Regions from separate parts of the Mus musculus genome. Here regions 1, 3 and 4 are each reported to be linked to region 2. Evidence: microRNA targets listed by miRTarBase, many of them from high-throughput screens and not tested one by one. Region 2 holds a microRNA gene; each other region holds the end of a gene's coding sequence.

Region 1 (8,131 bases), not on the chromosome of region 2:
TTCAAGTATTTGTACTAAATCTCACCAGGCAAAGGTCTCCAGGGTGAATCTGGGGCATCCGTCACCGTAACAAAGAAGGATACCCTTCCAGAGGTCAATTCTAAGTATTAAGTTCTTCAGTGTGGCTATGACAGAAATCCCAAGAGAAAAACTTAAAGACGGAAGAATCCATTTTATTCACAGTTTTGGGGTGTCAGCACAACATGTCATGGAAGGATACGATGGAGAAAAGCAATTCATATCTTGCTTGACAAGAAACAAAGAATGTGGTAAAAGGCCCAAGGCAAGCTATTATCCCCCAAGAAATGTTCCCCAGTGAGATACCTGCCCCAACTAGGTCCCTCTTGCCTTTCAGTGCCTCCTAATAATGTCACTGAATTATGACTTCATTAGTGAATGTGTCCATTCCTTGACTCATAGCCCTTAGGATCTAATAATCTCTGGAAACTTCATCACAGACACACCCACAGATACCATTCGACCAATCCCCATCTAACCAAGTTAATACTCTAAATGAATCATCACACTATACCCACAGCACATTTCAGGAAATCTTTCTTCTAAAATCCCAGCTCAGACTGGGGGGCTGAGAGAACTGCTTTATGAATTAGTGATGTCAGAAATCTGGCTATTATAGAAGTGAGTCTGCTGTTAAGAAATCAAATGGTGCCAGGAGCCTTGCAGGTGAGATGCCCTGTGCTCACTGCTCCCCAGGCCTTGACATGCCTCAGCCATCAGAGGGAAAGGGGCAGATGTGAGGGGGAAAGACATATGGGGAAAATAACCAGGGATAGATAAGAGCCAACCTGAAAAATTATAGTTAAGATAGACCAAGACACTTTCCCTGGGAGATCCAGGAAACTTGGCAACAGTGAGATATCAGGATATACTGCATAGGGGCATAGTTTAAGGTATTTCCAAGACCCAAAAATTGGTCCAGAAAGCACATGACGACACCGGGGCTTTCAGAAGAATATGCTATGGTTCATATCTCTGATTGCATGGCTCTTGATGAAACTCTTTGGCTGTGGGAGGATACTATGAAAAGGATTCTTCCACAGGAATTCTAGAGTCAAGTCTTTAGCTAACTTAAGGACCTTCTGTAGATGCCTTAGCCCTTATTTTCCTGAGCACATGGGCATCGTTCAGTCGCCGTCGAGGTTACGTGAGTGCATGACCCACATGACAGTGGCAACCTGCTTCCAGGGATGTGAAAGTTCCTTGGGTAGATGTTATGAATTATTTCTTTGCTAAAAACAGAGTCAGTGGGGAACGATATGCCTGATAGGTAAATATTGGGATGGGAATAGCTCGTAGAAAGCTTCAGATACCTACAGATGAGGACTAGGAAACCCTGACCCATATTGGATGCACTCAAGGCCACACAGCTCAAGAGTAGCAGAGCTGGAAGTGGTCCCTTTGCCCATGCTGCCAAGCTGCCTATAAAGGATGCTCATAAGGCCCCGCTCAGCCCATCCTCCCACAGCTCCCATTTGTCTCTGTCCTTTTCCAGATACATTTGCCAGCAAAGCCGCTGCCCTGCAGGACGTGTATGCAGATGCTTCCATTGGCAACGTCACAGGCAGTAATGCCGTCAATGTCTTCCTGGGTATTGGTTTGGCCTGGTCCGTGGCCGCCATCTACTGGGCCATGCAGGGACAGGAGTTCCATGTGTCCGCTGGCACTCTGGCCTTCTCGGTCACTCTTTTCACCATCTTTGCATTTGTCTGCCTCAGTGTGCTCTTGTATCGTCGGCGGCCCCATCTGGGCGGGGAGCTCGGAGGTCCTCGTGGCTGCAAGCTTGCCACGACATGGCTCTTTGTGAGCCTATGGCTCCTCTACATACTATTTGCCACGCTGGAGGCCTACTGCTACATCAAGGGGTTCTGAACCGCCGGAACAAGACCGCCACAGGGCAGACCTGGGACTTCTCCTGAGAGAAGGACGCATCCTCACCAACCTTCCCAGGTTACTCATCCCTGGAGCAGACACATCGGGACCCGAGCCCCAGGAACTTCACCTGACCTTGGCCCTGGCACTGCACAGAAAGGGCAAAACTTAACCAATCCAATAAACTGGAGAAGGCATCCACTGTCCAAAGTATTTAATTAAAAACAAACCAACAACAGCAAAAAATCCACCTCTCCCCATCCTGCCACTCACAGCCCTGAGCGTCCCCTTCTATCCCACCACCCAACTATTCCTTTGACTCTAGTTCCCCACAAGGGGCAGGATCTGCCCTGTCTCCAGCAAGATGCATCAAGACTCCCTCACTCAGCTGTCAGGGTATGAGAAGGAGCCATCTGGACAATGGCTGCCTTGGGATGCTCTCTTCACCTGGTCGTCATTGTAGTCATTTTCATTCTCCTACCAGGTTATTGTCTTGTCTTCTCTTCCTGAAGTTAGTGACAAAGGACCCTGAAGGAATTCCAAATCTGAGTGACAGACACCCTCCCACTCTCATCAGGCCGCTGCCATCTCTTGGCTCCAACTCAGGGCATAGGAGGAGCTTCATTCTTCGTGCATTGACATCAAAGCCAAACCACAGAGGAATCACCTTCTTCTCAGTGGAAGCCATTCTACGTCTCTGTGCTGCACCTGTGTGTGTGTGTGCCCTCCCACAAAGAGACTTCAGAGCAGAGATAAGAGTGTTCCAGGCTGACCAAGGGCACCCGGGGACACACGGGGAACACCTCTCCAATGTTTCTGAGTTTGTGTCTGAGGTGGGGGAGAAGAGGGTCTTCAACTGGGGAGGTCTCTAAGGGAGTGTGTCTCTAAGGGTCTCTTAAAGTGTCAGTGATTGGGGGCATGGCAGCGTCACCACCCCTCCCTGGCTGATGTGCCATACTCCGAGGGCTGAAGAGGTGGCTTGAAATGAATTTGGAGGCTTGTAAGAGAACAGGGGCTTCCTTCCCCCTCTCCTGGCCTTCAGGCCACTTTTGAAAGCATGTTCATTGGATGGGGACCGGAATCCTTCATTTCCCCCATGTTCCTGCTTGTTTTTAAACCGCATAAAGCTCCCTCTTCCCAGACTGTGGGGCATTTCTTATGCCCTGCCCCCAAGGGATCCAAGTCACCACATTGCCAAAGAATCCAGGCTTCTAGAAAACAAGAACTGACACGCTGACACCCCACCTCCCAGACCTTTCCCCTGTGTGTTTTGAAAAGACCTGGCTTTAAATCACACACACACACACACACACACACACACACACACACACACACACTACAAAACTGCCCACGGGTCTTGAGGCTTTCTGCATTGACATAAATACATTTTCTAAGAGAGAAAGACAAAATTAAAACGACACCTGTTTAATTTTAAACAGATTTTTTAAAAAGAAAATAAAAAATAAAACAATGCTCGTGTCCTAAGCTGTGTTGACAGTTGCCGGTGGAAATGTTGGGTTGGTTCAAAAAAAAATAATAAAAATAAAATAAAAGGTCTACTTATATGTCTCTACACACAGCCTGCTTTCCCCCTGTGTTTCTTCAATGAGTGGTCCAGGGGCCACCTTGGGTATCTGCTGAGGCAGATGCAATTGAACTGAAGGTATTGTCTCCTATCACACACAAGGACTAATATGCTAGACATAGTATTTTTTTTAAACAAAAAAAGTTCATGGAAATGATATCTGTCACAGCCAGACTTCAGGAAGCAGGAGGACGTAGGTCATGTGGGTTGTGTAGATAGCAGCAAGGAAACGTTTTGTACAAGAAGGGAAGGGCAGGGAAAGACTGACTAGAAAGACATACTTAGCCAGGGCTCCTTACACAGAGACTCAGAGTCATGTCTGTTTGCTCAGGACTCACTCAAAACTCCTACTGTGTGCACCTCCCATGTGTTCAGTTACATTCTGGTGACACAATGAAGACTTAGTCCTTGACCATAAGAAGGTCACAGTGGAGAAGATGAAGTAAAATTTCTTTTAACACAGTGTTTTGGGTTCTAGGAAATAGGAACCAATGAAAATGGTTCTCGAAACAGAGAGGGGCGTGCACTGGGATGCCTGGTGGGGGAGGGGTTTGTGGAACTCAGATCGGGGGACCTGAGGAACCAAGACTACCTTCCCTGTCTGCCATTCATGTGTTCTCTCCAGTTCTTGCCTCTCTGTGTGTGTAGCCCTTCCCCTCCTCTGGTCTGCTCATCCCATCGTCCAGCTCAGTTGACAGCCCTAATATGATTTCATGGCCTCACAACCCCACTCCACAGAACTAACTGGAGCTTTCTGTTGGAGATCTGGGAGCAAATTTGCAACTGAGAGAATGCAATTAATTGCTAGTACCCAGAGCAGTATTTCTAGAAGGCAGAGACCTTTGTAGAAGGCGGTGTTGGTGAGTGTGTGCAAGCATGCATGTGTGCGTGTGTGCATGTGTGTGTGTGTCTGTGTGTGTGTCTGTGTGTCTCTGTGTGTGCTTGTGTGTGTCTGTATGTGTGTGTGTGTCCATGTACACACAGGCACACATGTGAAGAGGTGGGGGAAGCGCATGTGGCTGGGTAGCTATGGACTGAATCCATTCCAGGCCCAAACAAGACAGAGAACATAAGACAGAGAACACAAGGATGTAGAAATTACACTGCAGATCAGTGACCCTTCCTAAGCTGAGCAGGACGAGAAGCTTCTAGAGCTTGTGATCAGGTGCAAATGAAAACGGCCCTGGGCCACGGGTGCTCAGAAGCATGGCATGGACAGAGGGCCACAGAACACAGCCGTCAAATTACTGACTTGGCCTAGAAGAATGGAGAAGGACCTCACAGAGAATGAGACCTTGAGACAAAAATAAATGGCAATTTATTTTGGTGAGAGGACTCAGCATCTAGAAGACAGACAAAAAGAAGCAGCGTGCCCAAAGGCAGAGGATCAGATGGGACCACCAGTAGAGTTCAAGAAGGGGGAAAGGCAGGCGGATGCTAGCTATGGCCTGCTTGTGTATCTAAGAAAGGTTTAGGTCAGGGAGGTCTTGTGTTGAAGGCAAAAGAAAAGGAATGGAAAGAAAGTCCCACCACTGCAAAAATGAATAAATAAATACCACTTCGCTTTCTGCATTGCAGAGCTCTGTCCTTGCCTAGGTTTAAATTTCTGGCCAAACTGGGGCTAAGAAAAGAAGATTTGAGAACGCAAGTCCTGCAAGGAGGTGATAACTAGGCAACAATAGGTAGGTAGGTAGGTAGGTAGGTAGGTAGGTAGGTAGGTAGGTAGGTAGGAGAAAGAGATGGACAGGGAGAGGGAGGGAGAGAGGAAGATCTGGGCTAAAAGATCTATTCCATTGTTCCATGTTATTGCTAATTAAGAATGAAGATAAAAGTGTTTTTAAGCTGATTCCATGGGAGAGACTAAAACATGAATGCCTTCTGTGCACATCTCTCCTTTGCTTTGAGTCATTTCTAGATCAACCAGGCTTGGTACTTTATTGAGAATGAAGTAGATGAACCCTAATCAATGTGGAGGAGGGGTGAGGATGGTGTCCAGAGAGAGGAAGGACCTTAGTCTGAGTCTCGACACCAACAACTAGGTCCCTGGATTGAGTGACACACCTCTAGGCTCACAGCCTCTGAAAACTTCTAAAGCCAATTACTTCCAGCATTAATGTTGAGATTCCAGAGCATGTGCACAAGGGGGTGGGATGCACAGGGTGATATATGCAAACCACCTGACAGCCATAACCAACAATGAATCGGTATGAAGGTGACATTGCCAGCCAGAGTGCACAAACTGAGCCACAACCTTCCCCATCTCTTTATCTCATTTATTTTCAGGACATAATAGCTACCATAATAAATCAACCCCAAGACTTCAATAGTTTAAGAGAACATGAAGTGCACTCCTCATTTATGTAATGATCTAAGGATTCTTGGTCAGCAAGTGGCTTCCTTCCACATGATGATTCAGGGACTTGGTGTCTTTCATTTTATAACTTCTACTTTCTGCATGTCTTCTCCATTCATCTCAGGTAAAAAGTAAATTGGAGGTGATACACACACACACACACACACACACACACACACACACACACACACACCTAACTGCCTTAGCTTCTAAGTCATATCACATTTGCCCACATCCAATTAGTAAAAGCTAGTCACTTTTACTCTTTCAAATGCAAAGACACTGTGACATATAGTCCTTAGTTGGGCAGTCACTCTCTTGTAACCTCTCTAAACTGCAAAGGATCTTTGGTTGTAAATGATTGCCTTGCCACAATGCCTTCGCGATTAAGGAGAGATATTTTAATATTAATACCCAAGAACAATCTGACCTACGTCTGTACAGTTTTCAGAGCCTTTAATATACATCATTTGTGATAAGAGCTAGAAGAGGTAGATACTATTCTTTTCTGTCAAGGGTGTTACAAGTGGTTATATGATTACCCTGGAGCTCACAGACAGTACGGCTCAGGCAGAAACACAGGTCTGATTCCAAATTTTGCTCAGCATGCCTGTCCTAGAATATCATGACCTCTTGTAGCAAACACCAGAACAAAGGATGGTAAGAGACTAGAATCTTAGGAGGCTGAATGTAGCCAGTGAAAGAAGCCCACAGAGAGGCAGCCAGTTACCAATTGGGAGCACAAGAGAAACCAGCCAGCAGTTAGTTCTCCGGGCTGTCCACAATGTCTTCTCACCTACCTCGTCCTCATGCTTCCTGAATGAAGAGCTGGATGGGGTGGCGTACCTGCAAGGCTCCGGGGCAGACCTGGAAATTTTCACTTTGATGAAATGATTTGTATTGATAATTAAAGATGGAGAAAGGATTCCCAAGACATCCATTAGAACAATGGTCTTCAAAAGGATTCCTGGAAAACTACCCTGGCAAATATGCCACATGACAGTCAGAGGAGCGTGTCTTAGTCTGTTCAGTGCTGCTATAATAAAATTTGTGGGTCTGAATATTTTATATGGAAGTATTTAGCTCATGTTTCTATTGGTTGAAGACCGTGGTGCTGGTACCTACTTTTAGCTTCTACGGAGGGATTTATCATGAGTCACAACATGGCTGAGAAACAGATGGGCACGTGCCAAGTATAAGAAAGAAGCAACAGAGGAAACAAAAGAACTGACTCACATTGTAACAACCCATTCCCCCCAAAACTACCACAGGGACCACACTGATAGAGTCATGATAGAGCACCCACAGTTCAATTACTTCTTGAAGGGCCGATAAACACTCACTCAACTCTGTTATGTTAAGAATGAAGCCTCATTTATGTGCTACAGTGTAGCTCAGTGGTAGAGCACTTCTCTAACATGTGTGACTGCCTGAGTTCAAGGCTCACCAGAAAAAAAAAAAAAGCATTTTGGAAGACAGGTCATATACAAGATCCAAACCATTAAAGAGAGACTCAGACTGACCTTATAAAAAGTGAATTTAGCATTTTCTAATAAACATAGAGCTTCTTTCTTTTATTATTACACATTTATTTAAGCACAATATATATATTATGTATGTAGCATATAATGTGTTGCATATATTGATGTGTGAATATACTGAAATTATTTTAATCAAGCTAACTCATATATACACACATGATATATATGTATATGTGTATGTATATGCCACATTTATATGTATAGGTGTATCACCTCATATAATCACCCTTTGGTAGAGTAAAAATGTTTCATGTCTGCTCACAGGAAATTTGAAGCTTATGTTCCACACACTATTAATGGTGGCCACCATGCTGTGTCTTAGCAACGTAGAACCTTTGCATCTCATAACTGTCCATTTGGACCCTTTAACCAGCATCTCCCTGTCCCCCTGAACCCCACCATTGATAGAACCCTTATAATTTTCTGTCCCATGAATCTGACTTTTTAGGGACATTCCATATATAAATGAGATCATGCACCATTTGTCTTTCGGTGCCTGGCTTATTTCACTTAGCCTAATTTCTTTTAGGTTCCTCCACATTGTACACAACAAGGTTTCCTATTTTTTAAGGCTGAGTAATTGTTTCAGCTTTGATTCTGTCTGTGATAAAATACTCTAAAAATGAATTTAGGGGAGAAAGGTGTTTAATTCAGTTTATAACTTCAGATTACAGCCCATCATTGTGTAGAAGTCAGGGCAGGAACTTCAAATATCTAGTTCTTATTACATCCAAAGTCAAGAGCAGAGAGAAAAATTCATAA
Region 2 (8,131 bases):
TGGACCTTACCAGTCCCTTGTCTAAGCTGAAGGCCACATTGTCAAGGTGCCCAGGTGGCCTGCCAACGTTTCTGCTGCTCATTTGAGTCATAGTTGTGTGCTGTGTTCCTTCTATCACAGGGCCTTTCACGTGCCCTGAGTTAACTTCTGTTCCTTCTTCAATTCTTACTTTAGACTTCATTGCTCACGGGGAGAAGTGGGAGGGGGAAAGTTGCCCTGTTCACTCTGCTGGGCTTAGTGGTTCATTTGATGAGGGTGACCTCATTATCAGAAGACGCAGTCCACAGCATCAGCACCCTCACTTTCCATGGGGAGCCTGGTCACCAAAAGCCTTCACTGAGCAGAATGTGAGTTACACCTGGCCTTCCTAGGTGCTATCCGGGGTCATAGCAGAGCCTGGCCCCCACTAGCCTTCATACAGTTTTTTTTTTTTAAAGGTAGTATGTATGCTCTGCCCTTGGTCCAGAGCTCAGAGGGAGCCTGGACTGTAGACTGGACCCTGCATGAGGCACAGTGCCCTATGTGCAGTGTGCCAACATTGCTTCTGCCTCTGAGGTGGCATAGGTCACTCCATCTCTGACATCCTATGCACCTGGCAGTGCTAAATACCTTCTTTGATGTACAAGTCTTCATATCTGCCTGGGCTGTCACCCAGCCTGTGTAGAGCCCGTGACTATAGCTACCTAAGTGAGTCAGAGTGGTCTGGAGCCTTCCGTGGGTTCTAAGCCAGACCCATGTGCTTAGAAGCCTTGTACCGGTCATGCTTCCTTCTGCCTTCTTCTGGCTCATCTGTCTACCCGGTATCTTGATGTGGGAGGAGTGTTCCACACCAAGTCTGTCTGTGTGTGCCATATGTCACCCTTAGCCTTTTGCCTGGGCATTTTCCATGGGGTTCAGATACCACTGTGCTCCGTGTTGTGCGAGCTTCCCTCCAGGCCTCTCCTCACTCAGATCTCCCAGTTTTTCTCCAATTTCATTTCACATCTTAATCCCTGGGCCTATGAGGTCAGCTTTAATGGCTCTGGAAAGCAAGAGCCCAGCCTAATTTTTGTCAGATGTGGCTCAGTCCCCACTTCCACTGCATCTGTCCCCATCTGCTCCTGCACGTTCCCTTCTGCTCCTCCAATGGTTTTATTCCACCACATCTTCCTGCCTGCGTGGTGTTCAGTGGGCATGGGCATGGCATATAGTGGGGTTTGGGTGACACAATGGGATTAGGTAGAGAGCATCCTGCCTTTTCCTGTGCTTTCTGTTTAGTTCTCTGATGAGACTGTCTCACTCCACATGTGTAGTAGCTCTTGGGGAACCTGTCAACCTGTTTTGGACTTAAATGTGTATTCTGAGGAAATCAGTATCTGCTCTGGTCACTGGACACAGATCAGCTTCAGAGATGGGCTGTGTGGGATCCCAGCCCCACAGAGTGTGTGAGGCTCATGTCATGCATTTGAGGTGGCTGAGTTACCTGGTGAGCTGGTGACCCTGAACAGTCTCAGTTCCCAGCAATGTCAGTGCTCTGACCATGCCACTCTGCTAAACAGTGTTCCAGAAGAACAGGCCAGAGCTCCTATGATGTATCCTGGCCCAAGCCCCCCTTTTGGTTCTCAGAACAGTGGTTGATGCATAGACAGTGTGTGTGGGTGAAGGTAGGGGTCAAAGAAAAATTAAAATTGTCAAAGTTGTAATTTCACAATATCATTTCTTCTGACACAAATATCTGTAGTGTGTTAGCACATGGCTTTCCCTGCTGCTTCACACCTACATACTGTCTGGCTTTGAACACTCCTGCCCAATACTAAATCAGGCTGATCTGAGGGAGATGTACTAGGAGGCTATAGTCACACCTCTGGCCTGGCTCCTAGCCCTCAGGGTCACTTTCCTCTAGACTTGTAGTCTCCATGCCGGGCCTCCTGCAAGGCCCTCTATGTTGTGGTTTACTTGCCATCTGCATGCTATTCCGGGTGTGATCTGAAAGTATAAGTGTCTGTGCTGCTTCCAGTCCCCTGTCTTCCTCTCCTCCCCTCCTTGCTAGAAAGGGCACTTCAGTGACTGATCTCAAACTAGAGCCTGCTAACTTGTCCCCAGGAATCTGTCCTGTGACCTGACCAGAGGGCAGAGTATCCTGAGTAGCCTGTCCGGAATGCTCAGAGCAGATGGAGTCCTGTGACTATGTGACGTAGCAGCATTTCCTTAATGATCCCACGTGGAAAATCACCTTCATCAGCTCTGCTGCCTGAGCCCCCTGACGGCATAGCCCCAAAGTGCCACCCCACATTGGGCTGGCCTTGTCTCTGAAGCTACCTGTGCCTCGCTCTCCAGAGCACCATGTGTAACAGTGCTATAGAGTTCTACTTACACTGGCTTGTGGCCCTCCCCTCATCCCTGGGCTGCTTCAAGTGACAAGGGTGATAGATGGGGTCTTCCTAGACACATCTCCTTTTCTTTGTTGTAATATTTTCCTGTATCGGGTCATCAGTGAATGAGCTACCAGATGACACATGGTTAAATACTCAGTTTGGATAGTGTGGCTTAATATCGTCACTGAAAAGTGATCTGCACACAGAAAAGTGCACAGGCAATGAGCCATGGATCCAAATTGCAGCAGACAGCACCAGGAGGGTGATGGGACCAACTGCAGCCCCTCCTCAGACTTCACTCAGGGGCTTTTGCTTTGTGGTGCACTTATAAATGCCTTCCCGCCTTCCGTATGCTCAGCATCATTCTTTCTGCTCTGTGTTGTATGCACACCTTAGGCAATAGCTTCTCTTGTTCAGCCCTGGGAAGTTGAGATGTGTTCTTTTCTGAAGTCTAGAAAGCCTTGGCTAGGTTTCAGGTGCAGTACATGTTGCTCAGTGAACAACATGGGTTGTGGGAAGTAGAGCTGGATATAGGTACCTGTGGCCTCCGAGGTGCAGGTATGTCTGTGATGATCCTGCAGAGTTGACTGGAGCTGACCTTAAGGACTGCATCAGCAACAACAGCCTGAGCAGCAATGCCAGCCTCCCCAGTGTGCAGAGCTGCCGGCGCCTACGAGAGAGGAGAGTTGCAAGCTGGGCAGTGTCATTTGAGCGTCTCCTTCAGGATCCTGTTGGTGTTCGCTACTTCTCTGTGAGTAAGGGGGACTGCTGTGGGGTGGCAGCACTTTGAGCCCGGGTGCTTGAGCTCACGGGGCCATCTCAGACCTCAGAGCCTGGGCATCACCTTGTTAGAGGTGTGGTCGTCCAGCACCTGCTCCAAGCTCAAGGATGGGGTAGGTAGCGTGTACACTTGTAGGGGCTGGCAGTTCTGTTTTCCCTTCCTGGCCTGCCTCCTGCCCTGGAGTTCCCTGCCGGCACACTTCCCTCTCACTCTCTCGATGTCTGTGCAGCAAGGAACATCAGAGTGTCTTGGCTCTGTGTGTTTGTTTTTTTTGTTTGTTTTGAGACTGGATTTCACTATGTTAGTCAGTCTGGTTTGGAACTCATAATCCCCCTGCCTTATCCTTCTGAGTACTAGGATTACAGTTGTATGACATCATCCTAGCTGGAGCTTCTTCAAAATTCTTGGAAATGCATGCTGACAAATACAGCTCTTAAGGATCCAGAAGTAGGGATGGAGCTGTGAAAGAGTGATTACGAGCAGCACGTGATAATAGTGTCAGTGATATGATGTCATATTTTATATGCTAACCAGAGACTAAAAATATATTTCTTTAAAAAAAAAAAAAAAGATGACCAGCCCTTGAGAAAAGAGCTGTGAGGCAGATGGCCCGCCCACTCACGTGTGCTGCGCAGCCCCTATGCCTGCTTTCAAGGCCCCTGCGAGGCTCCTTTCCTGCCATGGTGTAGACAAAGAGGGCCGGGGATATGGGGCTCAGCTTCATAGAGGGGTTGTGGAGTGACAACTGCTCTCCTTCCTGTGTTCCCTCAGGATTTTCTACGTAAGGAATTCAGTGAAGAGAACATTTTATTCTGGCAGGCCTGTGAGTGCTTCAGTCATGTTCCTGCACATGACAAAAAAGAGGTAAACTGCTCTTCAGAGCAGGGGCTGTGTGAGGACCGAGGTTACATCAAGGGTTGCTTGAGCAGTCGATGAGGGATGCTTCTTACTGACTTTAAAGAACGGTGACATTTCTGCTTCAGCATAAAAACTTAAGTGTGTGACATTTAATTCTGCCTAAACATAGTCTGCATAAATGCCTCGCCACAGAGCCTGGCAGTGGTGGCACTTGACGTTGGGTTGGGTAAGAAGGAACAGTGTTTGAAGAGACTTGGAGAAGCACTCTGGCAAACTGCAGCCTCTACCTGTGGCTTAACAGCACCTGTCTAGCTGCCCCAGGACTGCCCAGGCCATGTCCTGTGGCCTTTCCCCCAAAGTAACAGCTGTCCTCACAGAGTGGCCTCATGCCTGTGTCTTGTGCTCTGAGCATTGTGCACTTTTGCCCTCCCCTGTCGTGCACACTTTGCTGGCAGATCCTCCTCTGAGGCCCTTACAAAGCAGCCATTTAGAAATTTGCAGCCATTTAGAAATTTGTAGAGGAGCCGATTCAGGAGTTTCCTCCTGGCTCTTTCTTTTATATTTACTTTCATAAGCCAGACTATAGACAGGGCCTGTGACTCAGCTCTCCAGCCCCGAAGCAGAGTCAGCCTTAGGAATGTTTGAGTGACACAGGTGGGAAGTGTGTGTCCAGTGGGTGTGTCTACAGATCTGCTCAGACCTTTCTACCTGTCAGCTCTCTTACAGGGCCCGGGAGATTTTCAGTAAATTCCTGTGCAGCAAAGCCACCACTCCTGTCAACATTGACAGCCAGGCCCAGCTGGCAGATGACATTCTCAATGCACCCCACCCTGACATGTTCAAGGAACAACAGCTCCAGGTGACTTTGCAGACAGTCTTCCATGGGGCTTCCAGCCAAGGCTTGGGGGTGCAGAGTCACTCAGAGTAGCACGTGCCCTTCTGGGAAGGGGGCTGCTGGTCATGTGGGCATGGTGACAAGCCCATCTGACCACTGGGCTCCAGTCTCAAAAGGATTCAGTAGATCTGAGGAACAATAAAGCCTTTGCCACAGATAGCCCCATGTACCCACTGTCAACCGAAGTAAGGGACAATATTACTTTTCAAAAGTCTATGGGGCTGGTGAGACTGCTCAGCAGATAAAGGCTCTTGCCGCCAAACCTGACAACCTGAGTTTGATCATTGGGACCCACATAGTGAAAGGAGAGAATCAACTTCTATAAGTTGTACTCTTTAGACACGGACCATGGTGGGTGTACAACACACACACACACACTCTCTCTCTCTCTCTCTCTCTCTCACTAAATAAGTAAATGAATAAATAAGTATAAAAAAATTGTATGCACATTGGACACACTTGACCTACAGAACATGACAGCTACAGCGTGGCCACAACAGCACATTATGGAAGGTCAGTGGTCTTTGATGATTGCAGGGCTGACTCTGAGCAAGTTCGGTGTCACTTCCAGCATTTGAGAGCGGATGATAACTGCATTATCCCAGCCCAGAGAAAGCTTTCTATGAGCACACGTCGCTGCCACACTAGTGTACATCCAGAATGCTGTGGACCTGTCTGTATACTTACATGTTTACGTGCTTAGTAGCAGTAGCAGCAATTGTCATTTGAGACAGGATCTCACTGTGTAATTTCACCACCATTGACATGAAGCTCACATACTCGTGCCTCAGCCTCTGCCGGATCACAGGATGCACATGGAACCCTGTTTACATGTTTGTGTCTTAATTCTGGAAGAGCATGTGATCTGACCCGTCCAGAACACACTTCCCAGCCCTGCCAGCTGCTGTGCCGCTAGGTTGCAGGAATTAGCTTAAAACAGAGCAGAGCTTCCCCAGGCCTCACTTACCCTTGAGACAACTGCCTTCCAAGTTCCTAGGAAGTGAAGGCCTGCTAAGGGTGCAGCCACAGTCTTGAGTCTGCCTGCCCTTCTGGCTGTGCCTATGCCTATGACTCTGCTCTTACTAAGAGTGACAAAGGAGAGGCTGTTGACAGGGATCAGAAGGGTCCCTGGAGAGTTAATTAACATCTGAGTGCCCTGGGGCCCAAGGGAGGGTTGGCAGGAATGACACCCTTCCAAAATGTCACTCATTCATGGGTACAGACCTCCTATACCGCCTAGGACCTAAGGAGTTACCGTTCTTTCTGTGACTATACTGCATGGCATCTGCTCCACAGATTTTCAACCTGATGAAGTTTGATAGCTACACTCGCTTTCTGAAATCCCAGCTGTACCAAGAATGCGTCCTGGCAGAGGTGGAGGGACGTACCCTCCCGGACTCTCAGCAGGTCCCCAGCAGCCCAGCTTCCAAGCACAGCATCAGCTCTGACCACTCCAATGTGTCCACACCAAAAAAGGTGCTGGGCTAGCCCTTGTGGGGGTGAGAGTAAGGCTGTAACCACACATCCTGTCACCAGCAGAAGGTGGGGCCTGTAGGACACAGATACTCCTGAACCCTTTCCTGATCCCCTAACCCCTGGCTACCTCGGTGGTGAAAGAGAGGACTGTGCCCTTGACCCACTGAAGATTCTACCTGATTCCTCAGAATCCTTACTCATAGAGCTCTGTGTTGAGCCCCTTTAGTGTCTTAACTGATGTTTCTATTTGGTGACAGTTAAGTGGAAAATCAAAATCAGGACGATCCCTGAATGAAGATGTTGGGGAGGAGGATAGTGAGAAAAAACGCAGAGGGGCCTTTTTCTCTTGGTCAAGGAGCAGGAGCACGGGGCGGTCCCAGAAGAAGAAGGACCATGGTGACCATGCCCATGGTATGTGAATGCAGACCATGCTGTTGTGGGCGGGAGCTGGACTGCTGTGGTAACGTGAGAGGCCATGGTGGGCAGGCAGAGATACAGCGGAGTTATCTGGAGGGATGAAGAAATGTCACAGATCCTGGGAATCCAGCAGAGTTGGGGATGAGCCAGCCTAGGAAGCAGGCCTGCTCCAGAACCTTCTGGAAACTCCTTGATGCAGCGTGTCTGGCTGACTGGGCTCCTTTTCTTCTTGCTATGAAAGTTGCAGGTGCTTCAGTAGGAAACTTGGAAAACAGAATCAAGCAAAGAGAAACAAACACAAATGTGCTGTCCCCGTAGCCAGGCACAGCTTCTTGCCTGTGCCAATGCATGTGCGTCAGCCATTGTGTTGGTGGATGGGGACTTGGAGATGGGGTGTGCGTCCCATGGAGGCCTCCCATACCTGGCAGACTTGCAGTCATCTGGAGAGGGCTGCAGCAGAGCTCAGATACTCTGTCTGCCTGGTACAGGGTCTACAGATGCCCGAGAAGGTACTTGTTCAGAGTAGGTCACTGGATCCAGGAGCCTGAGTGTCAGACTTGGGGTAAAACAGTGTTTAGGCCCTTACATCGTATGTAGGCTGGCCTAGATCATGGTTAGAACAATTAATGACTTGGACTATTGGCTATGAATGGGATTTGTGAGGAAGAAGATGGAAAATGGGTTACTAGTAAAATGAGTAGCCAGCTGGTCACAGGGACAGGCTTCTTCAGACCCAAAATAGCACTTTGAGATAGAAATCATGGCTCAAATAAGACATGTCCACCCAGGGACATGAGCCTGGGCTGCACAGCACTGCCCCCTGCTCTAGTGCCTGGCAATGTCTCAGGTCCTACAGGGCCCCCACAGTGGTGACCTCCTTGGTGACCCTGACCCTTGACCTCTGCTGTGAGGGAGGTGTTTGACTAAACCCCAGTGGAGCAGGTGGTGCCTGGAAGGGCCTCTCATGTTTTGCTTTCTCTCTGTCCTTACTGTATTATGTCTATCCATCTGAGGGGTGAGATAGGGGTTGAGTGAGGGCATGTGATGCGGTGGCTTCTGATTCACCCTGGTCATTCCCTTCTTTCAAGATGCCCCTCATGCCAATGGAGGCCTCTGCCGTCGGGAGTCCCAAGGCTCTGTATCTTCTGCGGGGAGCCTAGACCTGGTGAGTCTTCCCTCATTGGCCACCTCCCCTCATTGCAAGGGTCGTAGGCTGACTTACTGGTAGGTGAAGCCTGGCTCATTAAACACCCAGCATTCGGTTCATGAACAGTGTGCCAGGGTTGGACACTGGCCCTGGGTCCCAGCCCAGGATTCCTAGGGCAGCGGGAAAAACTGTTTAGTAGGTGG
Region 3 (8,131 bases), not on the chromosome of region 2:
AGGAAACACAAAAATCCCTTAAAGTATTACACGAAAAGACAACCAAACAGGTGAAGGAATTGAACAAAACCATTCAGTATCTAAAAATAGAAGTAGAAACAATAAAGAAATCACAAAGGGTGACAACCCTGGAGACAGGGAACCTAGGAAAGAGATCCAGAGTAATAGATACAAGCATCACCAACAGAATACAAGAAGTAAAAGAGAGAATCTCAGGTGCAGAAGATACCATAAATAACATTGACACAACAGTCAAAGAAAATGCAAAATGCAAAAAGCTCCTAACCCAAAACATCCAGGAAATCCAGGACACAATGAGAAGACCAAACCTAAGGATAATAGGTATAGAAGAGAGTGAAGAATTTCAACTTAAAGGGCCAGTAATTATCTTCAACAAAATTATAGAAGAAAACGTCCCTAACCTAAAGAAAGAGATGCCCATGAACATATAAGAAGCCTACAGAACTCCAAATAGATTGGACCAGAAAAGAAATTCCTCCTGTCATATAATAGTCAAAACAGCAAATGCACAAAACACAGAAGGAATATTAAAAGCAGTAAGGGAAAAAGGTCAAGTAACATATAAAGGCAAGCCTATCAGAATTACACCAGACTTCTCACCAGAGACTCTGAAAGCTGGAAGATCCTGGGCAGATGTCATACAGACCCTAAGAGAACACAAATTCCAGCCCAGGCTACTATACCCAGCAAAACTCTCATTTACCATAGATGGAGAAACGAAGATTTTTTTCCATGACACAACCAAATTTACACAATATCTTTCCACAAATCCAGCCCTACAAAGGAGATGGAAAACTCCAACACATGGAGGGAAACTACACCCTAGAACAAGCAAGAACGTAATCTTCAAACCCAAAAGAAGATAGCCACACAACCATAATTCCACCTCTAACAACAAAAATAACAGAAAGCAACAATCACTATTCCTTAATATCTCTTAACACCAAAGGACTCAATTCCCCCAATAAAAAGGCATAGACTAACAGACTGGAGACTCCAGAGAACCAAATAACCCTATCAAGAAATGGGGGCCAGAGCTAACAGGATTCTCCACTGAGGAAACTCAAACAGCCGAGAAGCACCTAAAGAAATGTTTAACATCCTTAGTCATCAGGGAAATGCAAATCAAAACAACCCTGAGATTCCACCTCACACCAGTCAGAATGGCTAAGATCAAAAACTCAGGTGACAACAGCAGATGCTGGCAAGGATGTAGAGAAAGAGGAACACTCCTCCATTGTTGGTGGAATTGCAAGCTGCTACAACCAATCTGGAAACCAGTCTGGCAGTTTCTCAGAAAATTGGGCATAGTAGAGGACCCAGCTATACTACTCCTGGCCATATATCCAAAAGGTGCTCCAACATGTAATAAGGACACATACTCCACTATGTTCATAGCAGCCTTATTTATAATAGCCAGAAGCTGGAAAAGAACCCAGATGTCCCACAACAGAGGAATGGATACAGAAAATGTGGTACATTTACACAATGGAGTACTACTCAGCTATTAAAAACAATGACTTCACAAAATTCGCAGGCAAATGGATGAATCTAGAAAATATCATCCTGAGTAAGGTAACTCAGTCACAAAAGAACACACATGGTATGTATTTACTGGTAAGTGGATATTAGGCAAAGAACATGGAATACCCACAATACATGGACCACATGAAACTCAAGAGGAAGGATGACCAAAGAGTGCATGCTTCAGTCCTATTTAGAAGGGAATATAATCAAGGGAAGTAGAGGGTGGGAGGGACTTGGGAGGAAGAGAGGAGGGGGAGGGTGAAAAAGGGTGGCAGAATCAGGTATGGGAGGAGATAGAGGAGAAGTACAGAGGATCAGGAAATTGAGCAGATGTGTGTAGCAATGGGGGATGGGGAACTGGGGGTAGCCACCAGAAAGTCCCCGATGCCAGGAAAGCAAAAGCCTCCCAGGACTCCACGGGGATGACATTAGCTGAAATACCCCACAAAGGGGAGGGAGAACCTGTAGAGACCATATGCAGAGGTTAGGCATGGCCCCCTGGTTGAGGGATGGGGCCACTTACCCATCTCCAAAATTTTAACCCAGAATTACTCCTGTCTAAAGGAAATATAGGAAAAAGAGCAAAACAGAGACTGAAGAAAAGGCCATCCAGAGATTACCCCACCTAGGGATCCATCCCACATGCAGACACCAAAACCGGACACTGTTGCTGATGCCAAGAAGTGCTTGCTGACAGGAGCCTGATACAGCTGTCTCCTGAGAGGCTCTGCCAGATCTTGAGCAATACAGATGTGGATGCTAGCAGCCAACCATCGGACTGAGCACAGGGACCAAAATGGAGTTAGGGGAAGGACTGAAGGAGCTGAAGGGGTCTTATCTGCCATCAATGTGAGGGGAGGCCCTTGATCATGTGAAGGCTTGATGGCGCAGTGTAGAGGAATGCTAGGGTGATGCGGCAGGAGTGGGTGGGGGAACACCCTCATAGAAGCAGAGTAAGGGGGGATGGGATGGGGGTTTGCAGAGGGGAAACCCAGAAAGGGGAGATAACATTTGAAATGTAAACAAATACAATATCCAATTCAAAATGATAATCTAATAAATTTAGGTGATTATGGTGCTTAGGGGGAGAGTTATATACTAAGTAGTAGAATCATTCTTAATTTTTGAACTGGACAATTAACAAAAGAATGAGATAAAATTCTGTGACTATTGCATTTGGATATACACTTATGTGTGTTTTCAGTAATAAAAAGTAATAGTATAGAATGTGCATGGTTTAGCTTCATACCACCACAAGGGAGGCATATGCTGAACACAGAGGCTTTTACAATTCTAATTACTCTAAGTCTATGTGACTATCATGTTGGCCAAAGAGCTGGTGTAATCATAGCTTGTACTATAGAAAATATATTCAGGAAATATGATACAATTTTTATATTCCAGCCAAAAAATAGAACTTCAGCAGCATGCTTTTCCAGCCCCAACACACACACACACACACACACACACACACACACATACACACACACACACACACACCTTGGCTAATAAGCACATAAAATCAATTTTATAAAATATTAAAGGGTACTGAAAAGATGGTTCCTAAGTTTAGAGCACTTGACGCTCTTAAAGAGGAACCCACAAGATAGCTAATAACCATTTGTAACTCCAGTTACAGGGGATCCAACATTGTCTTCTGGTCTTTTTGGGCACCCAGCATGCATGTGGTGCACAGACATACATGGCATGCAGGAAAAATACCCTTATGCATAAAAGAAAAATATTGCTGGAAATGCTATTGTATTCTATGTAACAGTGTATGAACAATGCAACTAATATTAAAAATAATTGACTACTAGATGATTTGAGATGTATTTCTATAAATCCAGCGTGAAATATTTCTGTCCTCTAGCACTTCAATCATTAGAACGTTCTGTATATGCTTTGTCCTGGCTACTTTTATGTCAATTTGACACAAGCTAGAGTCATCTGAAAGGAGGGAAACTTGATTGAGGAAATGCCTCCATGAGATCCAGCTGTAAGGCATGTTTTTCTTAATTAGTGATCAATAGAGAAGAGTCCAGTCCCTTGTGGGTGATGTCACCCCTGGTAGTCCCGGGTTCTATAAGAAAGCAGGGTGAGCAAGCCAGGGCAAGCAAGGCAGTAATCGGCACCATCCATGGTCTCTGCATGAGCTCCTGCATCCAAGCCTGCTTGAGTTCCTGCCCTGACATCCTTCAATGATGAGCAGTGTGTGGAAGAGTAAACCAAACAAACCCTCTTTCTCCCCAAGGTTCTTTGCTCATGGTGCTTCCTCACAGCAGTAATAACCCTGAGACATACTCCCTATACAATCCCAAACTCTATGGTAAAGCATCTGACTTGGAAAAATGCAAAAGAACTTCTAGAAACAGTAAGCTCTTCTTTTCTTGTGATTACAAAATATAGCTTCTTTTTTATTCTTTTAAAGTTTTATTTAGATCAGGCAGTGGCGGCGCATACCTTTAATGTCAGCACTTGGGAGGCAGAGGCAGGTGGATTTCTGAGTTCTAGGCCAGCCTGGTCTACAGAGTGAGTTTCCAGAACAGCCAGGGCTATCCAGAGAAACCCTGTCTTGAACCGTCCCCCAAAGTTTTATTTATTATTGTGTGCATTTATAATGTGTATGTGGTTGTATGTATGGGATGAAAGATGCTTGGTCAGACAGCAATTTGGTGGGGTTAGTTATGTGAGCTCTGGGGATCAAGCTCAGGTCTTTAGGTTCACATGGCAAGTGTCTTTACCCACTGAGCCAGCCCATGACTACCAAATGTATTTTCTATACAGTAAATTGATAATAAGTAGACATATCATATGCTAGTAATAGCAACTAAAGATTAGTATAAACATACTCATTGAGAAGTATGAATACAAAAATTCACACCCAAGTTTTGAAACAAAATATACCTAAAACTATGGCCAGCATTCAGCTCGGACTTGCTGGTCTGGGCTCCCACAGACGTTTTCTGAGAAGCCTGGGCTTTGTGTGGTAAGTAGCACCACCATTGGTAGTTTTTAACAGTTTGACTGTAATCCCTACTTGTGATTCTACACAGCTATGAACACTGGAAGAGAGCTGAAGCTGAGCGGAGTGGCGCACACTTGCAATGCTAGCAGTTGGGATGTGGAAGCAGGAGGACCTGAAGCTTCAAAGCAGCTCCTGCTACACAGCACCTTCTAATACAGCCTGAGCTAAAGGATACCTTGTTTCACAAATAAAAAGGATAGCCAAGGAAGGCAAATATAATCGTTGAGTGTGGTGCCTTGTACACTTGAGAGACTGAGACAAAAGTTTAACTATGAGTTCCAGGCCAGCCTGGACTACAGAGTGGGACACTGTCTCAAAACACACACACATACACAATTTCAGATATAAAAACACAATTACTAACAGATTGCTATAAGTGCAACTTGCATGTTCTGTTAATATTCCAATGACACATATTATTATCAGTCAAAGAGCAAATATAATGAAAGCTGGCCTTGGTGGCACAAGCCTTTATTCCCAGCACTTGGGAGGCAAAGACAGACAGACTTCTGTGAGTTCAAGTCTAGACTGGTTTACATAGTGATTTCCAGGACAGCCAGGGCTACACAGATGAGACCTTCTCTTTTAAAAAAGACATGAAATACTCTAAAACCAGGAAGTTTACACCTAAACTTTGAGAGCCATTCACCTCCAAATGATGGTAGCTAAGAACTTGACCAACAATGAAAGGTGAGACAATTCACCAGTTTGAACAAAAGGGGGGCATTTTAAAATCAAATTCACAAGAACCTCTTGTTGTGAGCTAAGCTCCTGAATTAGACCCAAACAGAAAAATCAAGATCAGGCACTCATATTAAGCCCCCATTTAACCAAAAGGAAACTAAATTGTCTTTCTGACTGTCTGAGAAATAGATTAGAGAGATTTAACAGTTAATGAAGATTCCTCTGCCTTTTTTTTTTCTTTTTCCCCGAGATAGGGTTTCTCTGTGTAGCCCTGGCTGTCCTGGAACTCACTTTGTAGACCAGGCTGGCCTCGAACTCAGAAATCCACCTGTCTCTGCCTCCCAAGTGCTGGGATTAAAGCCGTGCGCCACCACTGCCTGGCAGATTCCTCTGCCTTAACGCTGTCATAAGAAAGGGTGACCTCTGGACTGGAGAGATGGCTCAGCAGTTAAGAGCACTGACTGCTCTTCTGAAAGTCCTGAGTTCAATTCCCAGCAACCGTGGCTCACAACCATCCATAATGAGACCTGACACCCTCTTCTGGTGTGTCTAAAGACAGCTACATCATACTTACATATAATAATAAGTAAATCTGCTGAGCGTGGTGGCGCACGCCTTTAATCCCAGCACTTGGGAGGCAGAGACAGGTGGATTTCTGAGTTCGAGGCCAGCCTGGTCTACAAAGTGAGTTCCAGGCTAGCCAAGACTACACAGAGAAACCCTGTCTCAAAAAAAAAAAAGAAAGAAAGAAAGAAAGAAAGAAAGAAAGAAGAAAGAAAGAAAGAAAGAAAGAAAGAAAGAAAGAAAGAAAGAAAGAAAGAAAGAAAGGGTGACCTCAGATTGACGTTATTTGGGTACAGGTTTTTGTTTTTCTTCGTTTGTCTCCCGGTCTTTGCTTTACAAGAGTAGGAATTTTGAAATGTTACCCAAAAAAGGAAGAAAAAAATAGAAATGTATACATATAAGTATTATTAAATGCTGTGTTTTAAAATAATCTAGTTAAAATTTTAAGCTAATAGTCATTAAAACAAGATGCTGCTGAAGAATGCTGTCTTAGGGGGTGACTTCGCTGGCTGTTGGCTTGGGCTTCACTTGTATATTGAGCACATAGTCATGGCGGAAGGATGAGCGGACTGTGCGATTCATCAGCGGCTGAAGAGGGCGGAAGTTGTCCACCATTCTTTTCTCTTTCTCTCCCTCAGAAGTGAAAAGCAGGGTCCGAAACTGCTCAAGCTAGAAACAAAACATTACGAATATCAATCAGAAACAAGCTTTAGTATATGGATAAATTACTTTCTTTTTTGTTTGTTTGTTTGTTTGTCATGAGTCTCACTGTGTAACCCTTAGAACTCATTATATAGACCAGGTTGGCTTCCAACTCCTGGAGAGCCACCCCCTTCTGTTTCCTAAATAACGGGATTATAGATATGCACCACACCACACTTGGTTTGCTTTCATTTCTATAATTCTACAATCCTTTGTCTCAAATTGGATTCAGAAAGAGAACTTATTTCTGAGAATGCTCTCTTCACCCCTTGATAAGGGGTTAAATGCCATGTTGCTGGCATGGTTGTGTGACAGCAGCAGGAAGTGGTCAAAAGCCAAGCTTTTAGAATCTGAAGATTAGGGACAAAGGCCCTTGTCCCAACATATTAATTAGCTGTTTGCCAAAGGTGAGTTACAGCATCTCCTTGGTTCTGAGGTATGTAGGTGGAGAGAAAAGACTAGAAAAATGATACATACAAATGATTGCAGTTTGTCATAAACTTATGTATATTATAAAATCAGAAAGATTTGCCCAAATAATTAATAATGCTGAGTGCTAAAATGACCAGCGATTAAGATTATAAATGTCAGATAACATTTTCAATGTTTTGTTAGCATATATTAATTATATACTATAATGGGTCTCATTATGAAATTTTCTTACATGTAATATATTTTGATCCTACTTATTGCTTCCCCATCCCCATTATCCTCTCCTTCCACCTACTGATCCTTTTTAAAATAAACCGCCAGCCCACACCTATTAAAAGCAAAAGGGATGATATTGAAAGCAACCATGGCAGGGACTCTGAGCCTCTGAACAATGACCATTGCACTCCAACAAGTTCAACACAACCAACTCGCTCACTCGACAAATCAAGGCTGATCTGACATTGGTACAGGAACAGCATCAAAAAATTCTAGAGTTGGGTTTGAAGATATGACTCAGTGGCTAAAAGCAGTGGATGATCTTCCAGAGGTCCTGAGTTCAATTCCCAGCACCCACATGACAGCTCACAACTGCCTATAATCATAGTTCCCTGGGATCAGATGCCCGATTCCGGTGTGCAGGACATTCATGCAGACAAAATACATAAATACAACTTTAAAAACAAACAAACAAACAAAAAACCACTCCAGACTCAGTTAGACTTCCTGGCAGCCATGGTATTACAAAGTAGATGAGGATTAGATCTCATTCTGGCAAAGAAGGGAGAAATCTGTGCTGTGTAAGTGAAGGAATATTGTTTCTACATGAATTTCTCAGGTGTCATAAAGAACAATGCCAGAAAGCTAAAAGAAAGAATAGAATCACAAGGCAGATCCCACCCATCAGGCTGGACAGGTTTGGAGGGTACTTGGGGGACCAAGGATAACCCCCTTTATTGGGCCCCTAATCTTGATAGGTCTAGGTCTATTTTCAGTCTCTATGCTTTAAAATTCCTCTCTCATCTGTTGCAGCAATGAGTTTAAGCCTATGTCAACTATCACTCAACTCCTGACTAAGGACCACAAACCCCTCAAGTCCTGGAAGCAGATGATCCCACAAAGCCAATATACATTCATGAGCAATCAAGATACTTTGATTTAAAACAAAACCCCTTT
Region 4 (8,131 bases), not on the chromosome of region 2:
TCTGGTTCTTACTTATCTTCCCTCCCGCATCCCTGGCATCAAGCATTGGCCTTGAATGTGTGCTGAATGTGTGCTGGTTCTGCTGTGGCCCGGTCCCTTTTTTCTGCACTCCAGAGCTGATGCCTTTCTGTTGTGTTAGTATTTGTCATTAGAGTTAAGTAATCTTGACTTTGTGTGGTTGGTGGACCCCCCGTCTAATAAACTTGCTATATCCTCAAATCAGAGTGTCTGTTGGAATAGCTCAGTGATAGGCAAACTCAAGGCCCTGGTTCAGTTCCCCAGCTCCATCAGTTTAATAGTAATAGTGCCTGGCATTTTTTTAAAAGATTTATTTATTATATATAAGTACACTGTAGCTGTCTTCAGACTCACCAGAAGAGGGAGTCAGGTCTCATTACAGATGGTTGTGAGCCACCATGTGCTTGCTGGGATTTGAACTCAGGACCTTCGGAAGAGTAGTCAGTCCTCTTAACCACTGAGTCATCTCACCAGCCCGTGTCTGGCATTTTTGTAAGACTAGGGGCCAGTGAATGTGTTCTGGGATAAGACCAGTGCAGACACTACCACTCTTGAGATGGCTAAAATGTTGAGGAGTATGTTGCTGGGAGATTTAAATCAGTATAACCTCTATACATAGCATTTCTAGCTAACTACTAAAATTAAGACAGACTCCACTCAATCAGAGTTAAAGCTGCCTACTATTTCTATAAACAGAAATGTCATTTATGTGAGCCACATATGTGTGAGGGTAAATTCCACATGGTTACTTGTTTCAACAAAAGGTTCAGAATGTATTGAAAGTGAAATTTCCACAATTGGAATATTATTCAGCCATTAAAAATCAGGCTTAGGAAATATGGAACTATGGCTGAGAATACTGGCTGCTCTTGCAGAGGACCCAGGTTTGGTTCCCAGCACCCACATGGTGACTCATGGCCATCTGTAACTTTAGTTTCAGAGGGATCTGATGTACTCTTCAGGTCTCTGCAGGCATCATACACAGACAGACAGACAAAGCACTCATACATGTAAAATAATCCAATAAAATAACGAGGCTTGAGACAGGAGGTAAGTAACGGGAGCCCGACCTTTTTTTTTTAATTATTAAAACTGGATGATGGTGGTGCACGCCTTTTAATCCCAGCATTCAGGAGGCAGAGGCAGGCAGATCTCTGGGTTCGAGGCCAGCCTGAGTGAGTTCCAGGACAGTCAAGGCTACACAGAGACACCCTGTATTTTGCATATATGTATAAGAGGTCTTGACCTCTTCGCTACTAGTAGATTCAGAGAGAGCAAGTGCCTGTAGTTACTGGAGCCCTTGGTGATCTCAGTAAGTGGCTGTGAATAGCCCCAACTGGGTGATCATACAGATGGCCCTGATTCAACTAAATGGGTCCTATGGGATAAATAAAGTCAGAAGTTCTGAATCTCGGGAAGAGACACTTAGGGAGGAGTAAGGGGACAAGAGGGCTAAAGAGTGGTGGGGAGATAACAGAATACTTGTGTACACATAGTCTGTGATTTCAAAAATGTGTACACACAAACACATGACATGTTTTTAGAAGAAATTGGATCCTTTGCTATGGTTACATGTAAAGGAGGAAATGGAATAACTAGGGTGAGATTTAAGGTTTTTTTAACCTTATACTCTGTTGACATGGAATTTTGGCATGTGTACTGTTTTATAGATTTATCTTCCATCAGTAATACTTATATAGACATCCTTTATGTGGCTGATGTTTCTGTGATCATGTTTGGTTTGCGTGGCAGGTGCTTTTTTATTTTGTCTTACTTATTTTTTGGTATAGGCCTGCAACTTGTGTTCATTTTTCCTCCCTCAGCTTTCAAACTGCTGACTTTAAGAGGTGTGAAAACCATGCCTGGCTAAGTGTACCTTTTGTGTGTGTGTGTGTGTGTGTGTGTGTGTGTGTGTGTGTGCTTGGTTCAGTATTTCTTCACAATGCCATCCACTCAACCTCTGTGTAGATGCTTGCCAGTAGTCCGCATTTCTGTCTTGTAGTAGGCATATAAACAGAACAGGTGGTTTAGGGCAAGAGTGAAGCTGGAAGGCAGTACCTTGCACATGCCAAGTGTGCTCCTGCTGCCGAGCTTCTCCTGCAGCCCTGGGAACCAATCTTGAGATTACACTGTTCCATTTTAATTGAATTCTGTTACAGTAATTATCCTAAGCAGCATTTTGTACACTTTCCTCTTACAGATCTCAAATCAACTGGATGTGGTGAAAGGTTTTCTGGGAAGCAACACAGATCTTAGAAACGGCCTTACAGAAGACTTGCAGAAGCTAGAGAGCCTCCATCTACAGCATCAAAAACAAACTTCAAAGGATGCCGGTAGACAGACACCTGAAAGGAAGGCTTGAGGTGAGTGTAGGTACTGAATGTTAAAGAGGGACACAATAGCCTTATCCCTTTGATGTCTGACTTCTCATATGAACCAACAGTCTCACTTGCTCTTCGCTGTGCCCTTACTATTAGAAAGGAAGGTTGGGAATGGTGATGTATAGCTTTAATCTCAGCATATGGGGAGCAGAGACAGGTTGATCTCTGTAAGTTCAAGGCCAGTCTGGTCTACAAAGTGAGATCCAGGCTAGCCAAGACTATACATACATAGTGAGCCTGTCTTAAAACAAACAAACATAGAAACCTTTTCAAAAGCAGGCCAAGTGCCTGTTCTGTCATTAGTGGCTCACAGACCTGTGAAAGCTCAACATTCTGGAGCAAGGTCAGCCACATAACCCTGAAGGCAAGGTCTGGTGTTAGCTGAGCCACTATATCATTTGTGACATGGTCTAAAACCATTCTGCTTTCAGATGATGCCCGGGATACCCAGTTTTCACTGTAGCATTAATTGTGCTTGGCTAGTGTCCATTAGAAAGCTGATTAATGTAAATATCTCTACTGTTCTTCTCCCAAATAATAATGAAAATACGGTCTTATTTTACATTGTCCTTCGCAACATCCAGGCTTGTTTTGTGAAAGTTGGCCTGGCTTCCAGGTCAGGCCTCCTTCTCTGTGCAGAGAGGAAACATTTCTAAAGCACACAAGTTTCTGTTGTGTGCCTTTCTATAATGCATCAGAGATACTTTTTTCATATTCATCAACTTGGAATTATGTGATGTGCCAGGAATGGTGCGGGAAGTAAGTGTCCAAATAAAAATGTTTAACTTTGTTTTTACTTATGATAAAGGAAAGAGGAAAGTGGTCGTTTTCTACCATTTCCTCTTGAGTGTGGAACTGTTACTGTGGGCTCGAAGCCAGAGACAGAAGTGAAGCAAGAAGGTTTATGCCTGTGACCTCAACTACTCCAAAAGCTGGGCTAGGAGGATCCCAAGTTCTAGGCCAGCCAGGGCAACTTCGGGAGCCCCTATTTCAAAATGAAAACAAATCGTAAGGAGGTGGATGTGAGGCAGTTATACAACATTTTCTTCCTCTGCCCGACCCTGGTGTCAGTTCTCAGCTCGCTGTCCCCAAAGACGGAGCAAAGCACGCACACTTGCAGCATCTCCTGAGTACTGCAGCTCAGGCTCTGGGACTGTGTGGTTCTGGAAATGCTAGGAAAGTGCTTGGAAACTTCATTCTTAGCAGTAGTCAAACAAAACTTTCTCTTTCACCGTGCTCATAAATTCATTCCCAGCTCTGCTCTTCTTGAACTGTGTGGAAGCCTTGTACTATTGTGTGCAGTGTTCTGTGGGAGTCAGACTCACTTCCATTTCTTCCTCGGTCTGCTCATTCCCAGGGTCTTTGCCATTAGACTGCTTCATGTCACCTCTGGACGTTACTATGTTCCCCGAACTACCTAGAAGAAACGCTCCATGCCAAGGCTCGGCAAAGATGAAGTCACTCCCTCACCTGGCCAGCTGCCTGCCCAACAGGGATCCTCCAGAGAGGGGGTAGCAATAGAAACTGGATTTGGCATGTATTTCAACTTTATAACCCAAATGAATACAAATGTGCTTTCAGCTTGCTTATTTAATCTTCCAGGTTGCTGTTTAGTTTTCAGTGTTATGGTTTCTTTCTCCCTTCATTTGTGAAAGTCCTTGAGAAGACTTCAAGCAAAGCAAGATTTTGCATTTATTTTGCCACTTTGCCATAGGAAAAAAAATCAATTCCCTTCTAGATCTGAAGTACAAAACATAGAATGTTGATGCACTAACCCACAAAGACCTGGTTTCTAACTGTAGGAAGTTTGAGATCCTAACCTTTCATTTTATTCTTGTCTAGTTATTTTGTCCTTATCAATTCAACACACACCAAGTGTCAAACCTGTGCCAGACATTGAAACGAGTGGTGAAATCCAGTCTTACTACCTTCATCTGCCACTCGGACAGTTCAGAGGTTCTGTTCAGAGAACTATACCAGTAACATTACAGTGAATTGAAACAGAAAAGGCAAGACCCTTGTATAAAGGGCTCGAAGACAGATGTGCTGAATACAGAGGTAGCGGCCTGTCCCACGTCTCTTCCACAGAACTGTGCCTGGGTATGTCCGAATGGATGTTCACAAGTTGAGGACCTACTAAATAAGTTGTAGAACATCTGTACTATGCCACCTGTCTTAGTAAGGGTTCTATTCCTGCACAAACATCGTGACCAAGAAGCAAGTTGGGGAGGAAAGGGTTTATTCAGCTTACACTTCCATACTGCTGTTCATCACCAAAGGAAGTCAGGACTGAACTCACACAGGTCAGGAAGCAGGAGCTGATGCAGAGGCCATTGAGAGATCTTCCTTACTGGCTTGCTTTCCACTGGCTTGCTCAGCCTGCTCTCTTATAGAACCCAAGACTACCAGCCCAGAGATGGCACCACCCACAATGGACCCTCCACCCTTGACCACTAATTGAGAAAATGCCTTACAGCTGGATCTCGTGGAGGCATTTCCCCAACTGAAGCTCCCTTCTCAGTGATAACTGCAGCTGTGTCAACTGACACACAAATCCAGCCAGTCCACCACATAACTATTCTAAAGAATGACCCCATAATGAAGTGCAGTCATGGGAATTACCTGTAAGGCATCTAAAGGAAAGAAACGGTTTGAAGGGTGGACTGGAGCTCCGTGGTGGGGCGCTTGCCTACCCAGCATGTGTAATACCTTGACTAGATGGCTGTTCCACTGCCAAAAGCAAATCAATAGAAAAACAAAGTATTGAATAATGATGAGCATGCTATAGTGCTGTTTGTGTGCTATAGTAACTGAGCTCTGGAAAGGGATGGTCTGCTTTCTAAGCCTTTCTTCTATATTATGTCTCTAAGAGGAATTGGGGCTGTGGGAGCAGTCAGAGGAATTTAGCTTTTCTGCTTTGTATATTCTTTTTTATAATAAACATGCATCTGTGTATTTTGAAAAATTCTTACAGTTTTTAATTTCAAAACAAGGCGCATGAATAACACACCAAATTGTAAGCCATGCGAGTCAGATTATATGGAGTTTGCTGTGGCCTCTTATTTTGTAGCTCCACCCCCAGGGGTGCTTTTGAATCCTAGCACCAGGGAAAGAAACCCAGGAAAGACAAGCCTTCTACCAAGGCTGCCCTCATCGCCTGTAGGGTGCCTTGTCTCCATCCAGTACGCTTTACACTCAGCCTCTCCCCGGGACACTGGTGCTTGATAGTTTGAAAGAATTTGTAGAAAAAAAATGGCTAAATCATAGTTGCAAAGATCAGGAAATTATCAGAGATTGCCTCCTTTCCCTTTACTAGGTTAATTAGAAATTTACCTGCTCTGCAAAGCATTCACTCAACAGTGGCCTGTATTAAAACACATTCAAATTATAAAATACACTTTGCAAGACAGGCCTAAATAGTAATTTCAACTCATGTGATTCTCAGTGGAGTGAAAAAATCCTTTAATGTTTTAATAAAAATCTTAATATAGTTCACTTCGTAACTTTAAGGACTTGGCAGAGCACTTTATACCAGCTCTTTGCAAGGTGGTCTCTATAACTGCAAGGCTGTCAGAGTAGCAGGGCATTTTTAATTTCAGAACCTTGTGGGGCAGGCCAGCCTCCACACCCCTAGTGATCCTTGCTTTCTGGTATTGCACAGTGCAGCAGGGTTGCTTTGTGAACATAGCAAAAGTGATGATAAATCACTTCGTGACTAAGCCTCAGCACAGTAAGACTTTAATCTTCCATCCTTTGCCAACACCACGGTGGGGGAAGCCATGCTGTGCCTTGAGCAGTCTTTTGGAGACTGCTACAGGAAGACACAGAGCTGAAGCCTCCCACAAACACCCATGAACCTGGAAATAGAGCTTCCAGCCACAGAGACCACAAAACTGTGAGAGTATGTTGTTCTATTATTGGGTGGCTGGTTATATTGTGGCAGGCAATTAATATCCTGTCCTATAATTTGTGCCCTACCCTCCACCCTCATATTCAGAATATGAAAGGGACTTCCCACGAATGACTTTTGCTAGGATGCTGCAGATGCGTGGATGCTTAGATGCTTGGTTCCTGCAGCTTTTCCTGGAGTTCCACTGTTGGCCTGTCTTAGCCAAGAGCAGATGGCTTCAGAACCTATAAGAAGGGGTTTAAATCTCTTTGCATCTGTAAGCTTGACCACAGGCAGGTTCAGCACTTGTGAATATGTGTATTGAGTCCCCCCAAAACCACATGGGCTTTCCTGTATTCAGCAGAATCCTAGGCAAGGCCCGTGTGGATCAAACCCCAGGGGACAGCTTGTCCTAGCTATAATGATCCTACCTCACAACATCGGTCTTCCCTCTTTACAAGCTTTTCGGTTTAATACATCATTGGCACCCAGAAAATTCCTAGGGGATACTCTGAGCTGCTGACCAGTGACCCTCACCCCCCCACCCCATCCCTAGCTAGTTAACCCTGGGGCAGGGCTTAGCAACTGCACAAACTCCTGTAGTTTCCCACTTTAAAGGGAAAGCATTATAATTTGGGCATGTTTTCCTAGAACTTGCTGAATTGACAGCAACCATCCTGAGCCCAGAAACCATTCTGAGTCCTTTATCCCATCTCCATGGCAACTTCCATTATTGTTCTAGGTAACCAAGAGCACTAAACTCTTAAGATGTAAACTGGAATTTCACTACATTTAAACTCCCTTCTAAACATTTCTCTCTACAGAAATAGCCCCCAACTGAACCCCCTTTGGTGTAGGGATTTGTCACTACCAAATTTTAAGTAGCCCGTGGCGCCAAACACCCTGGGTACCCAAAAGCCTGTTCCCTAGAGAGGGTTTTGGTTGGTTGGTTTTGTGCAGTTTGTTGTTGTTGTTTTATTTTTTAAAGCAAAGCTATGAGATAGTTTGGTTCTCCTCTTGTCTTCCTCCCTGAAGTCTTTTGAAGAGGGAGACCAACCCACCAATCTGCCCTCCCTCTTACCTAGGAAACCGTTCCCCTCCCAGTTCACAAAACAGGCAACACTCAATATCAATTTGATGGCTTTTTTTTTTAATTAACCAATCTGGTTTAAATCAGGTTTGAAAACCAAAGTTTTCCTTGGCTTTTCTTTAGGAGGAATAGAGTCCAGTGCTTGCAAGCTGCAAAATCTGGTTCAGGCTACCCCTCTCATCCCTTCCCCCAGTCATGAGGCCTATTTGGCCGGAGGGTTGGTGGCTTTGGCCTTGGCTCCACCACCATATTGGTGCTTCAGGAAACGGCCCGCCTGGATGCTCTGCGCCAACACGTTGGAGAAATGGCACGCCAGCAGCAGGTAGTTTCGAGGCTGGACACGGTAGGCAAAGCGCATGAAAGCCATGGAGTAGAAGATGAGGGCGGTCGTCATGCGGCCGCTGATGATGTCGGGAGGCGCCTTCATATCCTTAAAGGCGGCCAGCGGAAGGCCCCAGTTGGCCACAGGACCCCAGAAGTGGGTGCTGGTTATATAATCCCGAAACTCCTTGGTCTTAAGATAATCTAGCGTTTTCCGCATTAGCGCTGCTACTGCTGCCATGGTCGCCTCAGTCGGAGAAGTGCCTACAGCCAAGCTGCCAGCCACCAAATGAGCACAGAAATGCGGACCTCACAGAAGACCCTGACGCAGCAGCCGCTTTGTGCTTTTGCGCCTCTGCCATAAAGGACACCAGTTCACGCGCTGCTGACGTGCTCAGTTGACGTCCTCAGCTGACTTGAGGCTTTTGGCAA

Evidence for each region. Region 2 holds the annotated microRNA mmu-miR-3097-5p (CACAGGUGGGAAGUGUGUGUCCA, at 4,643-4,665, shown strand). A microRNA usually pairs through its seed, bases 2 to 8, with sites in the 3' UTR of a target mRNA and lowers its output. Matches are read on the target gene's strand: a 7mer-m8 pairs with bases 2 to 8, a 7mer-A1 pairs with bases 2 to 7 and ends in A, and an 8mer does both.
Region 1: miRTarBase lists Slc8a3 as a target of mmu-miR-3097-5p. Seed matches in the 3' UTR shown: 7mer-m8 at 2,596-2,602 and 7mer-m8 at 3,309-3,315.
Region 3: the mRNA of Car5b is a reported target of mmu-miR-3097-5p. Seed matches in the 3' UTR shown: 7mer-A1 at 6,116-6,122 and 7mer-m8 at 5,904-5,910.
Region 4: miRTarBase lists 1810030O07Rik as a target of mmu-miR-3097-5p. Seed matches in the 3' UTR shown: 7mer-m8 at 4,567-4,573 and 7mer-A1 at 5,020-5,026.

What each region holds. Positions count from the first base shown.
Region 1 is chr12:81,193,250-81,201,380 of GRCm38, reverse strand. It overlaps Slc8a3 (solute carrier family 8 (sodium/calcium exchanger), member 3), which reads left to right. Exons shown (of 7, transcript NM_001167920.1): 7 at 1,514-3,466. The coding sequence ends at 1,890. Among named protein-coding and RNA genes, the nearest start is that of Gm3693, 31 kb to the left of the region's middle.
Region 2 is chr5:35,016,408-35,024,538 of GRCm38, forward strand. It overlaps Mir3097 (microRNA 3097), which reads left to right and starts at 4,642; the gene lies at 4,642-4,708. It overlaps Rgs12 (regulator of G-protein signaling 12), which reads left to right. Exons shown (of 17, transcript NM_173402.2): 5 at 2,936-3,105; 6 at 3,907-3,999; 7 at 4,709-4,852; 8 at 6,185-6,364; 9 at 6,622-6,775; 10 at 7,870-7,946.
Region 3 is chrX:163,972,878-163,981,008 of GRCm38, forward strand. Car5b (carbonic anhydrase 5b, mitochondrial) reads right to left here. Exons shown (of 8, transcript NM_181315.4): 8 at 3,945-6,493. The coding sequence ends at 6,314. Gm38561 (a long non-coding RNA gene) reads left to right here. Exons shown (of 4, transcript XR_878297.3): 2 at 1-3,922. Among named protein-coding and RNA genes, the nearest start is that of Gm38561, 18 kb to the left of the region's middle.
Region 4 is chrX:12,652,112-12,660,242 of GRCm38, reverse strand. It overlaps 1810030O07Rik (RIKEN cDNA 1810030O07 gene), which reads left to right. Exons shown (of 7, transcript NM_175141.6): 6 at 2,219-2,381; 7 at 3,757-5,364. The coding sequence ends at 2,380. It overlaps Gm4984 (predicted pseudogene 4984), which reads right to left and starts at 7,990. Exons shown (of 1, transcript NM_001101484.2): 1 at 7,418-7,990. The coding sequence starts at 7,940. The coding sequence ends at 7,581.